Oreochromis niloticus: one gene and its partner. The protein of the gene in region 1 purifies or fractionates together with the protein of each later gene. This does not show direct contact. Links are inferred from orthologs where the notes say so. Each region holds a gene or a part of one and is shown on either strand. Other genes may lie near its edges.

Region 1 (8,003 bases):
CCACCAGGTCAGACCGTTAGCACAGCAAGCTCAGCATAAACACCCTGATCACAGGGAAAACGAGTGCATGTTTTTCACCTCTTTTTCCACATTGATGTAAAACTGGCGGATGCCCTCAAGTGTCAGCTCCTCCTTCTTCACGAGGATTCTGATAGGCTCACGCATAAACTTCTTTGTGACCTCCAAAACATCGGCTGGCATGGTGGCAGACAGTAGGACAACCTTAAAGAGATTTACAGAGATATCTGTCAGCTACAGGCCCTTTCCATACTTCAAGCCAGGACCTTTGACTCGGCCGTTACAGCGCTGACACGAGTGTTCTCCAACCTGGATGTTGCTCGACAGCTTCTGGAAGATCTCGTAGATCTGATCCTTGAATCCTCGACTAAGCATCTCATCAGCCTCGTCCAACACAAACATTTTGATGTATTTAGAAGCTGCAAAAAAAGGAACATGTTACACATCATATGGGCACATAACACATTCAGTTAAATCCATGTTTGCACACAGATACAATGGAACTGTGTTTAGGAATCACGTGCCACTAATGAGGTTTCAGTAATGAAGTGTCTTCGGGTGTAAAGGTGCCGTATTCAGAAGTAATGAACGTATGATCATGCCTCTGGGACCCTGCTGTCATGAAAGCTCGAGCCAGCAGAACGCCGACCAAAGCGACACCACAGCAGGGACGTACAGTGTCAGCTGACACGCATGGGTTTCATCATTATACAGCACTTATCATATACAAGCAGGAACAGACACAGGAAGGAAGACTACAATGTGGGGTGAAAGCGATAACTGACCTCTGAGGTGATCATAGTGACCAAAGAGACTAATGTTCTTTCCTTATAGTAACAAAATTTCAAACAAAGTAGGATTTAACTCCCTCTCACGAAGACTTACAAAGGTTTTTGCGAGTTAGCATGTCAAAGACGCGGCCGGGAGTTCCCACCACGATGTGTGGGGCTTCAGCCTGCAGTTTCTGGACCTCACTGCGGATGTTGGTCCCTCCAATGCAGGCATAGCAGCTGGCGCCCATGTAGTCACCCAGGGCAAGGACCACTTTCTGAATCTGGAGATTGAGTCAAAGACCAGACATTAAGCCATGCAAAAGGCTATATGAGAGATGCTATTGCACAATATGTCACAAGTGTTGGGAGAGGCTGTGTGGAAGCCAACCTGCTGAGCCAACTCCCTGGTGGGAGCCAAGACCAGAGCCTGAGTGCCTTTCAGCTCCACATCAATCTGCTGAAGGATGGAAATGGCAAAGGTGGCAGTCTTCCCAGTGCCAGATTGGGCCTGAGCAATCACATCGTAACCTGAAATTAAAACATGTGCAATTTAGTATCCAGGGAATTCTTGGAAATGTTAACTGCTAAGTAGTATTAGAAACAGACAGTATCACATATTGAAAGCACTCTTACCCTTGATACAAGGCATAATGGCCCTTTGCTGGATAGCTGAAGGTTTCTCAAAACCATAGGCATAAATTCCCCTGAGCAGGGTCTCCCGTAGATTCATCTCATCAAAACTATCCACAATCTGGTTCCAATTGCTCTGGAAAGGTTAGAAAGAGTCCCACATAGGTCAGTTAACTACATTCTGAACCTACTGCTGTGAAAAGAACATCAGTGTTTGTGGGAGTTTCATATGAGACACTTACCTCAATGATCCCATCTGGCTCCATGCCTTCAGGGCCATTGTCTCTGTGAATGACAGAAACTCACGGTTATCATTGCTTTCCAGCTACACTTGTAAATGACCATAATGAACTAAATCCCCTCTGCCCACGAATAATGATAATAAAAATAAAATCTTCTGTAGCACAAAAATATCCCCCTTTAAGTATACGTGCTGATATAATCATTACCAGGCTCCACGTTATATCATTCTTCCCAAACTTGGCGTGAAAAAAGAAGCCTTCGCCCCTTGTGCTGTGACGCGAGGCCTTGTGGAGAGGCCGCCATTTTTGCTACATACAATCAAGATGGTCGTTTCTCCATTCAGGGGAGGAAGAGTCAGGGGCGGGAGGACGCTTTACAGAGGAAACGCCGCCACGTCGAATGTGGCCGACTAGTCGACAAACTCCGACATCTTTGTGTTCAAAGCGAACGGATCGTTTAGAGTTAACCGCGATGCTAAGAGGAAAGCGGTAGAAGAAGCCTCGCGGCTTGCCGCCGAGGCCTGCTCCGCATTAGCCATTAGCAACAGGGCCTGCTAGTCTGTAACTGACAAAGTCGGCGAAAGCAATTGTTCATTTAAACGCGTAAGGCACAGCGCTTTGTGAAGGCAGCGTACAGCTCCACCACATGCAGCGCGTGTAAGCGGAAAAACGTCCATTTTCAGCGGCCTTAAAGCGGCCTTTGTTCAAAACGCCGACCATCCGTACTAAGACCATGTGACTCCACCGAACACCACGAAACAGCATTAATCCACCTTTACAGACAAAATAAGGTCAATCAGGTGTATTACACCCGAAAGTGTCGTAGTTCCGATCTTTTGGCTTCAATATCAAGTTACTACAAATGAAAAGAGGAAGAATTTTTAAAGGCCTACACCAGGCTTGTTCACGTGCTGTCGCCGGATGCCGATAACGACCGCAGTCAGTATTCACATCTGAAGCATTAAGACTAATATAACTTCTGACTAGCATGACTTTAACGATCTAAAACATTAAATCTTATTTCACACTCGTCTCCTGAAACGCGAAGAGTCCTAATGTTCATCTAAGACAAAAAGTCCTCGAATGTTACTCGACTACAAAACTCCGTTAAAAATGTGCATTCTTGAGAACATCGAGTAAAAATATGACGGATTGAAAGTGAAAATAAGCCCTAGAACTCACAATTTATGCGACCAAAAGTAGCCTTCCTTACCTGTTATCATATTCAGCCGACATTATTTCAAAGAAAGAATCCGCAGCAGAAATCTCTTATATAGGTTATGCGCACAAAGAGGCTTTCTCATTGTAAAAGCTCACCGTCACTTAGCTGTGGTCCCGCCCACAGGCATTTGCGATTGGACGAGCTCTACGTCATGTAAAAGTAAGCAGACCCATGGGGCGGACCGTTTCGTTTACAGTATGCTCGTAATTCACGCTCGTGCCCGAGTTCTTTAGCCAAAGAGGCGGGGTTTCAGTTTTTACGGAATCCGTTGGTGACGCAACCGGGTTTCTTCAGTCCGCCTGCCCAGGTGTGTCCCCGCTGCTTTCCTCAGACATTTACAAGCGCCGAATAAAAAATAAATGCAATTTTTTAATTGGGTCATGTAATGTCTTAATGTTCCAGCATCACGTTGAGTATTTACAGCCTATCAGAGATGAGTCTTGTGCGTAATATGCATGGATCACTCAACACACTGCTCTTTAAATGTATTCATACTCTATCACGGGAAAGAGTTAGGGTTAAAAATAACTATTTCTGTTGATTATCTCAATTTTTTTACTGAATCTGGATGATGGAAAAATCTGATGAGAGTGCAGTAGGTTAGTTCCATAAATGTAAATAAATAAATAAATAAAGCTTGAAAAACACATTTATATAATAGTACTTTTTAAGGCTTTAGAGAAACATGTGAAACAAACCATAACCACAAAATGACACCATGAAATTAAACTGAACATTGTCCCAGTGACAATAATGTGGCATCTGTACCTGGTTTAGAACTTCTCTCTTTCTAAGTGCCATGTCTTATCATGTATATGAAGAACTACCATGACCGTTTCTAGTCTCTACATGTGCTGAGAATCATTCAGATATTTGCTCTGAAATTAGGTTTTATTACTTTCGTTTAATGTGTTTTTTATTTCTGGATCTAATATTCTGTCTCTCTCCATTAAAATTAAACTACCATAAACAACTAGCCTGCTAATTTCTTTGTGAGCAAAATTTCACCCACTTTCTACACAGATCGATGCATTTTCTTGGTGGATTCTCTCATCAGATATGAACTGCTTTTCTGTATGGGGCCGATTTTGACTTCACATCATGTGGACTGCAAAAAAAAAAGCACTTGGGTTTTGGTTTTGGCTTGTTCTCTTATATCGGTGCTTATGTATTGTCTGAGTGTCGACACCTATCACTCAGGAAAATACTGCAGAGGCTTTCTTCACTTTAACAGCCGTTAGAAAGGGACTGTGAAAAGGTGTTGTGGCAGTGATCGAAGCGCCCATTACAGCAGGTATCAGTGTGAAAGGGTCTGCAACCATCCCCTCTGCAAACAAAGAGCTGGCTGAAAACCTGATACTGCAGGTTAATGAGGGACGCATTCAGACCCCTCACCCACCACATCCTGATAGTAGTCACTGTAAGGCCCCCTTTGTACTTTGTGGATGATGCAATCAATATAGGACTGCATTATATCCTATAATATCCAACTGTGCAAAGACTTATGCAGTTAGTAGAGTTTAGCGGCATGTTCAAGACCGTCAGCAGTGCACCCCAGCTTCTCCGGAGAAAGGAAACAGCATTGGGGAGAGTCTGGTTTGGTGCAGCCACAGCGCAGTAAGAACCTTGTTCAGAACTGAGATCACTATTACGAGGAACAAACCACAATGTGACGAGCTGAAGAAATGATCTAAGAAGACCTCTTAACAAAAACAAAACAGAGATCCTCTTTTTACTTTACTTTTTTATGAAACCCAAACATATTACCACAATTACTAACAGAGACACAGGAAAAAATGAAATGCAATGTAAATATAGTTATTTGAGCCAACAGGTCATTTCAATTCAATCTCCCACAAGCTGTTTGAGACTTGAAAGTTTGACTAGGACTAAATTACACCTGCAGAGCTTGTGGGGTGTTCCCTGTTTGCAGTGGTCCAAGGGAGAAACAGTGGGAAGAAAAGCTGATATGGAACAGTGCATCGCAGTGGAGACTGCATAGCTGTCTGTATCTGTGTGGCTGTTAAACACACTCTTTCAAGAATGCCAATGTCCACATTTTGGACAAAGGTTTGAAAGAGGAGTGAACGACCCTCTTTGAACACCGACACCGTCTGCCATCTACGATCGAGCTTTGAGATCCTTCCCGGACGCCTTAACTCACATCCTGGGCCTTTTGACCTCAGTAAGTCACATGATGGGGGGCAAGGTCTCACAATGGGTTCACCCGAAACCTTGGCTGACCCGTTTTCACACCTTGGCTCATGTGATTATGCAGAGAATCAATAGAGGGTCAACAGCCCTCTTAAGGACAATAGGGCTTAAAAATGTGGGACTGACTCTCAGACGAAACGTCTTCAAGAAACTGAAAGTAGTCCTTCCATTACTATGATCTGGACGAGTCAAAACTTACACACACACACACACACGTTTGCCACATATTTTTATTTTTAGCAGTCATAACGTATTGTAGAAGATATATAAAACAGCTCTCTTGCATCAGCTCCTTCTTGGGAAAAAAAAAAGCAAAGCCAAAAACAACTATTCACAAATTTTCTTTTGTTATAAAAAGAATAAGAGAGCACTGTATCTCCACTGTGGACATATTATGCCTGTTGTGTATTTGTGGTCCTCAACAAAATGGCTTTTTCAAAGAAATACTAACCAGAAGATCTCTAAATGAAAAAATAATAATAACAACAACAAAAAAAAGAAAGTCTTTTTTCTTGATTTTTTTTATGAAACCCAAACATATTACCACAATTACTGACAGAGATAAAACACGTTAAAAAATTAAATGCATTGTAAATATACTTCTTTGAGCCATTTCAGTTCAATCTCCCACAAACTGTTGAAGGTTTATGACTTGAAAGCGATCGAGGGGGGAAAGTCTCTATTGTGTGGGCCAGTATGAGGTGGGATTCATGGATGCTGCAGAAATCCAACTTTCCCTGAGATTCACCAGAAAAAAGTTTTACCTGCAAACATAACCATGCATTCCCACTGAACTCCAGCTGAGCAGGCTGCAGGAAAGGATTACAAATATTGTACATGGAAGTTTCACACTGTAATACACTGGAAAACATTTTGTGCTGAACAGCTCGTCCATATTGGTGGCCACAGCATGGGGTACGTTTCATTTTGCAAAGATGTCAAGTAATGACTGGCTGGATGGAAAAGTCACTGCAGCCCTCTAAACACAAACTCCACTGTGGGACTTCCTTTCATACTTCCTGGACGCAGGCTTTTCCGTACCTCAGTGCTCCCTCTCCGACCAGAAAACTAGTGGACTATCTTTACACGGATAACTAGCCCATCCCCAAAATAAGATGGCTAGTCTTGGCCTCTCACAACCACAAAGAACTATGACATGATATTTAAATCAGTGTTTTTCAAACAAACCGAGGGAAGCAAAACCAGAAAAAATAAAGTCAAACAATGTTCGCATCTAGAAGAATTTCTCTGCATGGTGGAAGAGAAAAAGTTAGGTTTGTAATGTTTATTTTCCCCCAGTCACTTGCTCCCATTTTCCTCTTGTTTTAACACTGTCCCTCCATCCTGTTAGATTTCAGGGACGGAGCAGGTGTAGCTGGCCACAAAGGATGGAAAGTAAGGGTCACACCATAAGCTTGCAGTGACACAGTTCTTTGTACATCTGTCTTCTGAGGCGGGGCATGTCCTGCTGCCCAAAGCTGAACTGCTGCCCGAGTGCCAGACACTTGCAGTACTGCAGGATAGCAGAAAAGGAAGGGTCAGGGTTAGATTCAGATACTGAAACACATTTAAAACAACCTGATGTGTGGCAGTTACCATCTATGCAGTAGGTACATGTGTTCCCCTCATAAATGCTATAAAGAAGTGAAACTGAGGCTAATCCAAACTGTCCACGGCTAGCTCTCAACAACAGGAGTTCGTGTTTATATTAGGGCTGGGTGATATATCGAGTATATTCAATGTATCGCAAGTTTGTCCACGTACGATGGTTAAAATGCTTTTATCGTAACCATCGAGTGTAGGTTCCCGCACGCTGCAAATGCATCATCAATCCCCCCTCCTAGCTGGAAAATTTTCTACCCGCCACACTGCGCTGAGCATGCGTGTTTATATGCTACCAGATGGGGAATAATATGGCGACAGTGGGAGTTTCAGAGTCGCTGTCGTTTGGATTTCACGAGGAGGATGTCGAACAACACGAACGAACTCGGCATGTCAGCATCTCCCCACACACCAAGGGAAACGTTAAATACACCAGCTGTGATTTGAGCTATGACGGCTATTGTTGAGAGAAACAGAGTCCATGTTATTGTTTATCGTTCCTGAAGCATATTCGTGGCCGCCTTCTGCTGCTGGCTCAGTTCATTTTGGTAAGAGAGTGATGAAACCTCTGCTGTTAGACAATGTGACGTTTGCTTACATGAAGCCGAGTGAGTGTTTGGCTTCGTTGTTTGTGTTTAGGCACATTTCGCAAAGTGACGTAACTGCTCTTTTAATTGTTGTTTTGGCTGTTTGCAGAAATGGTTTCTATGAGCTTGTGGCTGAGACTTGAAAGTTTCATTGGATACCACACATGTCGATATTTACATAAAAAACTTAAACTGCAGCCCACCCCCTTTGCTGCTCAAGATGTATCAATATATATCGTGTATCACGATACAGCCCCCAAAAATGTGGCGGCATTAGATTTTCTTCATATCACCCAGCCCTCATTTATATGCACAATGCAGAAAACTCACCTGTAACACAAAAGCCCCACAGTCACTGTCATTGTTCTGGCGGCCCACATTCTGCAACATTACAAATACATTAGCATTAGCAATGGTACCAATTCAACTAAAGTCTGCTTCTCGTATCATTTTTACTTAAAGTCTCACCAGAGCTTTGTTAAGTGGTATAAAGAAAAATCCTTTTACCATTTTGAAAAAGCCGGTCCATCCTGTCAGGAAGTCTTGCTGGTCTTTTTTGATGGCTTCAGCTTGCAGGTATTTGTAAATGTGCTGGAATCAAAATGAACACATTCAAAGACACTGCAGCAATTTCCAAAAACAGAGATTCTGACTTTGAGCAGTATATTCATGGATGACAATGAATGGACTTCTTGAATAGACTATATGTGTGACA
Region 2 (7,620 bases), on another chromosome or scaffold:
TATCCCAGTAATCTTGAGACTCTTCTTGTCCAGCAAGCCCATAGACTACAAGAAGAAAAAAACAAAACAAAATATAAACCTTTAATATCATTTGAACATTTCATTTAAACGCATCTAGACTGTTTTCAGGCCTACTTACCGGAGTTTCATAGATACTCAGTGTGTCTGGTGTCATCCTTGCAAAGAACTTCCCATCATGGCTCCATCTGATAACAAACATGTAAAATTAGAAGACACATCCAAACTCTGCAAGAAGCAGCAAATTTGATTTAAATTAGATTTAAAAGAGAGAAAGCATAATACGGACTTAAAAATAGGCCAATGTGCAGAACTCTCGCAGTGGAACCCTCTCTTCTTCTGTCCGGTCAGAATGTCCCAGATGATGATGGCCTGTGGGTCCTCCTTGGTGTCCATCAGTGGACTGAAGGTCACCACATACCTGGAAGCCAGCACAACCACACATTAAGCTCAGACTGTGGCTCACAGGCCAACTCGGCACCTCTTTAGAGTGCTTTATCTGCACATTAATCATCCTTTGCTGTCCCCATGTCATGGTGCAACAACCCATAGGATTTAGGTGACGTTGCCTTATTTACAGGAAATAAATAAATCACTAATGAATAAACACTTGAACGGGATACTCTATAATATAACTATAATGTGCTTCTTTGGATTAAAGTCGACTTTTGATTACCTTTCACATGGTGAGAAGTCGATGAGGGACACACCCTGATGGCTGAACCTCTGAATCTGTTTGAACTTCTCGCCGCCCCACAGTGCAATTCCCCGCTGGTGGAACGTAGCCAGGTAGGTACCTTTAGGAGACCATCGGACGTACGTCTCTGTCCAGCGCTGCATCAAAGCAGGAAAAACATCAGAACTCTCCAAACCAGTGACTACTGACCAGTCATGTTTGATACGAGCCCTGCATTTCCCACCAACTCTGCGTGAGTAATTAAAAACTCACCGCTCTCTCTTCAACTGTGATTGGCTCTTTAGCGTCGTTGGAGAAAATGGCAGTCCTCTCTCCAGCTTCATAAATCACACTGTACTGGTCACGGCAATCTGGGTCCTCGATCCAATGGCGCATATTCCCCTGAAAACACAAACAGAGTTATTGTCGCTTGCACGGTTTCAGGATAGAGACTGTCCTGTCGATTTATGAAGGTCAACTTAATAATGAAAGTGCTGACATGAAGCTATTTTTGCCAAACTAATTCTAAGTGTTATAAACTGATTCATTATATTATGACTGAAAAGTTAAGGTAACACTTACAAAGTCTTTGAAAGGCTGCTTTGCTGGAGCTTCCCATTCATCGCTGATGTTCATGTATCTGAGAAAAACAAAGGTACGATTATTTACTTGTATTCCAAGTCTGGCAAGCAATACCTGGACAATGCATTGAGTGGTACTGCATACTCACTTGTCAAAGTCAGTGAAGAGGTTGACCCTAAACGTGTGCTGCTTGTCGAGTTTATATCCATCTGCGTTCTTGACTGCTTCGAGGGCTTGAGTAGGAGAAGCATACTCCAGGAAGATGTAACTGTAAACGAGGAGAAAAAACAATTACTAAAAAACAAAACAAAAACTCTGCTTCAAATCCGGAAATCCACCTTGAATCAAAATAGATGCACAAAAGAACATAGAAGAAAACAACTGCGGTCATACCCTTTGGTCATACCATCCGCCTCTGGGTAAAACTCAGTCGTGATCTTGCCAAACTTGGAGAAGATCTTGTGTATGACGTTCTTGAGCTTTTCCAAACGCTCCGGGCCGACCTGAGGGACGTTGTCCACCACCACCACCGAGTCTATGCCGTCTGCCTCCTGGGGTTTCTCCCTCAGGATGTCATCAAGAAGCTCTGAAAAGTGAAGGAGGAGGGTCAGGGTGATGAACAAGCTGATAGGACTGTGTGGGGTTGGGGTTCTCATCTCATTTTAATGTCGACCTTCTTTTCATATACATGAACCAATCTAAACTTTATAGCCACCACTTCAGTTACTGGAAGGGAAGACTGCATCGTTGAAACAAACAATTCTTTTGTTTAAATTTTCTTTAGAGATGTGCAGGTTTAAGCTTCATGATTTATAAGTAGACAAAATATAATTACATCATAATAAAGTTAATTCAATAGTACATCTCCTTTACACTCACTGCTTAATACACATCATTTTGATAAGGATAAAGAACCGCTATGCTGGCGTGTTTAGCTTCACAGAAGCTATTTCATTTGTGTCCTTGTTTAACTTCAGCAAATTAATATTAAATGGTACCAATTTTGTTGTAAATTTACCCCAAGGTTTCTACTATACATAAATAATTATATTGTGACTACTAAGTACAAAACACGTGTATCTGATGAGTCATTTTACCACAACTGCAAAACTTGCACAATTGAAAAGCTCTAATGAGCAAACGCCCCTCAGACCTGGGTTAGGATTACCATTGAGCTACAACCAGCTGCCCCATTTAAACTACTTTATATAAGCAAACAGCACAGAGAAAATAATGTGCCCTAACGGCTTTACTAGCTAAAATCCTGTTTCGGTTTTTCAGATCGTATCGCACAGGCCCCAGTGAGTGGCTGTGTGGGGTCTGGGTGAGGCTTTAACGGGCGTTAAGTACACTGTGATAACGTTATGTTGGGAGTTTTTTGGAGAAAAAGGGTGGTGTCGCTGTTGTATTCCTGGTAATTACGCTTATGCATCCAGCTCATGGTCACTGTTCACTATTTACTATTACTACGTGCCGGTGACCAGAGAGGCTAGCTAACTAGCTTTGTAGCATCTAAAACATCCCCACCATTGAGCTCTTAGCTAACTGCTAACAGCAGGCCGGAAAGCCGGCGTTTTTCCTGTGACTACTTACCGTCGTCATCCACATCGTCCACGTAGTCCTCCGGGTCGCTGAAGGAAGGCTCCTCCTCTTCATACTCGGGGTCGTCCACCATATCCACCGTTTCTTTCATTTAACAGAACTACAACACGGACTTTTGTCTACAGCGGAGCAAAAATCCCGAAAACGAAAAGGCTGGCGATCCTCAGCCGGTGCAGCACCATGTGCGGATCCGTGAAAATGGACGACGTGACGGAAACGCGACACCGGAACCTCCTCAAAGGCGCGTGAAAAGGCTGCGCAGAAGCAGTAAAGCTGTAAAGCATAGGGACCGGAAGTACAACAGCTACTGGTGGTAATTTTCCCCCACAGTGATGTTTAGAGATCAGCGAAGAGCGCAGCGGCGTGAGACCCGCCCAGAAGCACGGAAAAGGAAACGACGCACCGGTAGATCCGAAACTGTTTCCCGCGAGACGTTCGTTTAGTAAAGTACAAAAAACAACGACTTTGTGTGTTTAAAGTGGCTGCTTCAGTTTGGTCTGTACTGCATAATTTAGCTAGAGGTCACATTTACATCCACATGAGTGGTTAGATAATGTGTAGACTTTATATAACTCCTAGCTGTAAAAACCTAAGCTAGCAACGGCGGTTATTAACACGCACACCTTAGCCCCATGGACAGAGAGTGTGTGTCACTGCTGCCCCGGGTCTGTGAGGTGCTGGCGGCCTCAGGGAGCTCGCTGCCCGATGACACCATTCTGGAGAAACTGCTGGACTGGTTCACAGCGCTCACCGAGGCTGGTTAGTAGTACTGACCCTAACAGGATCGTGTCTTTATTCTTCCTCCTCTCCCACTATCTTTCTAATAGGAGGATCAATTCAAATATTATATTGTTAAAAGTATCGATACCATCTAATCGATACTTTATTTCTATATTCTAAGTTCAGTGTGTAACCCTCTGACCTGGGTTGAATAACAAATATTTTGTAAATGAAACAAACATGTGATGACTGTCTTTTTTGTGTTGACTGTCACTTCTGCTTGATTTAAAGCCTATAGCATATTTGAACGACACAAGCTGAGACAGAGACAAGCACATTTACATTCCAGTTCTCCGAAAAAAAACCAGCTTCAAAATACATGAAAAGCTGAAAGGTGTGTTTTAAAGAGCCCTCATTCTCCAGAGAACTGATCTAAACTTAATACCATGCAGCGAATCACTGTATTTGTAGGTGATTATTACTCAGATTATATCACCGATATTTGCAGATAACATTTACATTTTGTAAAAGATCCCAAAACTCAAAGATACTTATATATATGTTATATTGCATTAATAAAGATAAATTTAAATTTAAAATGTTCCTTTTTCATGTCTTTTGTACCTTTATCATTTCTCTTTATGGTGCACATAAAAAAGTGATCCCGTGTAAATCTGTATCCTTGTTTTTCTTTTCTTTCACTCTTTGAAGGGGAGTCTCTGCTGGAGGCCTGTCCGTGTCTGCTTGAGTTCATATCTGCTGTGATTCATGACACGGCTTCAGCCCCAGGTGTCCTCTCCTTCACTCTCAGACTCATCGGCTTATTGGCTGCTGCTGAGGACGCCTTCAGAATTCTTAAGGTAGAGCTTCTGACGCCTGGTGTATTTAGTAAACTGTTACAAAATATTCCAATGCTTATCTGCCCTATCATTGTGCCTCCCTCTCTCTCTTGCAGGAGTCCTTAGTTCTGGATCTTGTCTTTAGCTGTAAGCACTGGCAGGAGTTAGGGCTCTGGGAGGATCCCTGCATACGGATTGGCTGGATCCAGGGCTTAAGGACCACACTGCAGCATCCAAATGGTCTTAGTTTCTTTATACAAGCAGGTGAGTTTTTTGCATCGATTCATGAGGGGGGGATCATTAGTATTAAGGATAATATGCTATTTCTATTCGTCCTTTCATTTGTTTGCTCCTGCATATCAAATTCAGGGTCACTGGGGGCTGGATCATTCCCAGCTGCCATAGGGCGAGAGGCACTGTGCTATAGGTATTATATTGTTGTAATTCTGATGCATCCTCATATATATGTATTATATTTGTTTGGTTTTTTTAGATTTCATTGAGCCACTTCTGCAACTCCAGACAGACACAAGCCTATTTGTTGCCTCAGCTGCCAATCAAATGCTCGCCCACGTCCTGCTCTTCTGTCAGCCTGTCTCATCTGTAGGATGTAATGGCACCGATAAGAAGGAAGATGAGCAGAACACACGTGCGTCCAAAGCAGTTGTAGAAAACCCAGCCGAGCCCATGGAAATAAACCAAGATTGCACCGCTGTTGTCGATGCAATCTCAGAGTACCTCAAGAGGGCGCTGGGGGTTCCCAAGGGAAGCACACAGCTTCATCAGTGTCAGCAGACTCTCAGACTGCTGGCTCTGCTCCTGGGCCAGACCAAGCCTCCTCTGCGGGACAAGCTGCTGCAGACAGTCACAGCTTCTCTGGAAGAAATGGTGGCAGCAGATTGTTGTGAACTCACACTGCCTCTGATGGATGTCATTCTAGCTGCATGCAGGTAAACCCCTCATAAAACACAGGAGAGTGTCGCTTTATAGAGTTGTCTGTCCTTTTTTGTCTCTACTAGAGATTATTTGGATTTTAAGTAGTGACTTTAAGAGGAAGGTGAGGACAGTGGAGCTTCCTGGCTGAATATGCAAATCTGCTAATAGATATAGCATCGATGGCTTTGTTCTATTGATCTATGCAATACCACAGGACAGTGTAATGGTCAGCCATCATCCACAGCATTTACCTAGTGGTTGTTTTTAAGTATACATTAGTGACTGTGCTGCTGTTCAGGTTTAGTTTATAGACTCTTGCTGTGCTTGCTTCTGCAGCCGCCTCCCAGACCAACGCATCACCCGTCTTTTAACTTTCATGTTGAACGCCAGGAAACCTGCTGACCTCGTCCATGCTGCAGCTGCTTTTCTCCGCGGCGGCCATCAGTAAGCACAGCTTCTTCAGCCAACACAAACTCTGTACACGAACGTCTGTAGAGGTTGGGTTTTCTGTTAAAAACCCATGGGGATTTGTCATTATAGTATCTGTCTACAAAATATTGTTCCTTTTCTTCTGGTTTTATGTGCAGTGACCGTGTCCACACAGCTCAGTCTGTGAGATTACTGCTGCTACCCCTCGACATCATATCTGGCCAGAACCTACTAGGCACAAACACTGCAGGTGACCCACAAAGACGTACACTCTTGAGAAAAATCTGTGTTATCTTGCATTTATGCTATGGAGTAACATGAGATCTGGGCCTGTAGGAGACATGCATCGGTTTGCCATGACTGAGCAGCTGAAGAGCAAAACCTCCTGCATCTCCATGATCAGTGTGTGTCTAACAAACACACCTCAGATCGCACACATGGTGAGTGTAAGGACAGGAGAGAGTGGCTAAGTAAATATTGGATCTTTTTCAGTTAACACTTTATAATTTTTAATTCCTCTGTAATAAAATAGACTTTTTAGGGTATTTTATTTGTAATTACAATGTAATTATATTTACATACACACAATTAAAGCCAGGCACACTAGAATAAGGGGATAACATGTATAATAATAATTCTTTCCTGTACTGTACACTTGTGTACCTAGCATTAAGTAGCTGTATGTAAACATAATTACATTGTAATTTCTGATAAAATCTGAATGATAGAAGTAACAAGCCCTCAGTCGCAGGCCGTGTTATAAGGTGTTAGCTTTTTTTTCTAACACATGGAAAGGCTTATAATCTCCCTCTCTCCCACAGGATCCTGACTGCCTCCCCTGCGCTCCGGATTTAATCGTGTCTGGAATTCTGTCGTTACTGAGGATCTGCAGTGGCGACTCGTTCTCCTCGTCCGCTGGCTGTAGTGAAGTTTTCAGGAATGTCATTGGCAGTGGGAAAGTTCAGAAATGTGCTCTAGAGGCTCTGACAGCTGTCAGTAACAGCCCAGGTAAAGCTGTCATTAGAGTTAGAATCCATATTACATGAATGAAACTAAAAGGGAATACTGAAAACAAACAAGTTTCTTTATGGAGGATATAAAGACCTTCAGTGCATGTATTAAAAGTAAAGTGATGAGTTTTTCATCTGTAAGATACTTCTACAAAAGTAGTATATGGCATATGTAGGAAAACCAAATGTTAAAGGAACACGCTGAGTTAATTTATGTTTCTGTTTGTGTTTCAGGAGCGAATGGCAAGCTGACTGACGTGTTCACACTCCTGATACAGTATCTGGACAATCCTGATTCTGATCCCACTGTAAGTTTGTGTGTGTTTTTGTTCACAGATGTAAGATGATCACAACTATCAGAGATTTGTACAGCTGCTTTGATTCACACCTAAACTGGCTGTAGGTGTGAATTAAAATGTGTGTCTGTTTCTCTGTGTTTGCTCTAATATGGATGCGCCCTGGCTCTCATCCCATTACACTGGGTTGGGTCAATATCCTGACGTGTGTAAGATCTAGCTTAGAGTTACATTTCTAGTTCGTTGTAAAGGTGATGGATGTGGTTAAAGTTGGAGTTAGTCAAGTTTTTCCATAGCGCACAAAGCCAGGTCCTGTCGCCTGCTATAGCAGGGAATATCTCTCCCCAGACTGTGGTCGTAACACACTGTTGTCTTAAAGTATCACTGTATGTTGAAGGACTGTCACTGCTTTCATTATTTGGAACTAAGAATCCCAAACCATCCAGCAGATGGCGTCAGTAACCTGAATATCTCAACCTGTTTTTACACTGGTCAAAGTTAAATTTCTTTTG

Evidence for each region. Proteins that work in one complex are often made in the same cells at the same time.
Region 2: the proteins of eif4a1a (region 1) and eif3ba purify together in Homo sapiens (affinity purification with mass spectrometry; 4 studies listed by BioGRID and IntAct, counting the BioPlex papers as one, with this or other methods). This does not show direct contact. The link is inferred for Oreochromis niloticus from reciprocal best matches to the Homo sapiens genes EIF4A1 and EIF3B.

Annotation. Positions count from the first base shown.
Region 1 is NC_031967.2:1,649,016-1,657,018, reverse strand, and holds the start of eif4a1a (eukaryotic translation initiation factor 4A1A), read right to left. Parts: upstream 3,018-8,003; 5' UTR 2,900-3,017; coding exon 2,877-2,899; intron 1,707-2,876; coding exon 1,664-1,706; intron 1,558-1,663; coding exon 1,425-1,557; intron 1,320-1,424; coding exon 1,180-1,319; intron 1,073-1,179; coding exon 904-1,072; intron 731-903; exon of another isoform or gene 590-730; intron 438-589; coding exon 328-437; intron 223-327; coding exon 79-222; intron 1-78. Other genes in the region: senp3b (sentrin-specific protease 3b), read right to left, coding at 6,502-6,612, 7,619-7,669, 7,796-7,879. UniProt on the Homo sapiens protein: ATP-dependent RNA helicase which is a subunit of the eIF4F complex involved in cap recognition and is required for mRNA binding to ribosome.
Region 2 is NC_031971.2:13,426,092-13,433,711, forward strand, and holds the start of eif3ba (eukaryotic translation initiation factor 3, subunit Ba), read right to left. Parts: upstream 3,009-7,620; 5' UTR 2,970-3,008; coding exon 2,870-2,969; intron 1,863-2,869; coding exon 1,670-1,862; intron 1,545-1,669; coding exon 1,425-1,544; intron 1,335-1,424; coding exon 1,277-1,334; intron 1,097-1,276; coding exon 968-1,096; intron 853-967; coding exon 695-852; intron 440-694; coding exon 308-439; intron 207-307; coding exon 140-206; intron 46-139; coding exon 1-45. Other genes in the region: integrator complex assembly factor BRAT1, read left to right, coding at 3,511-3,637, 4,310-4,458, 4,554-4,701, 4,931-5,387, 5,710-5,817, 5,961-6,052, 6,139-6,242, 6,624-6,810 and 1 more.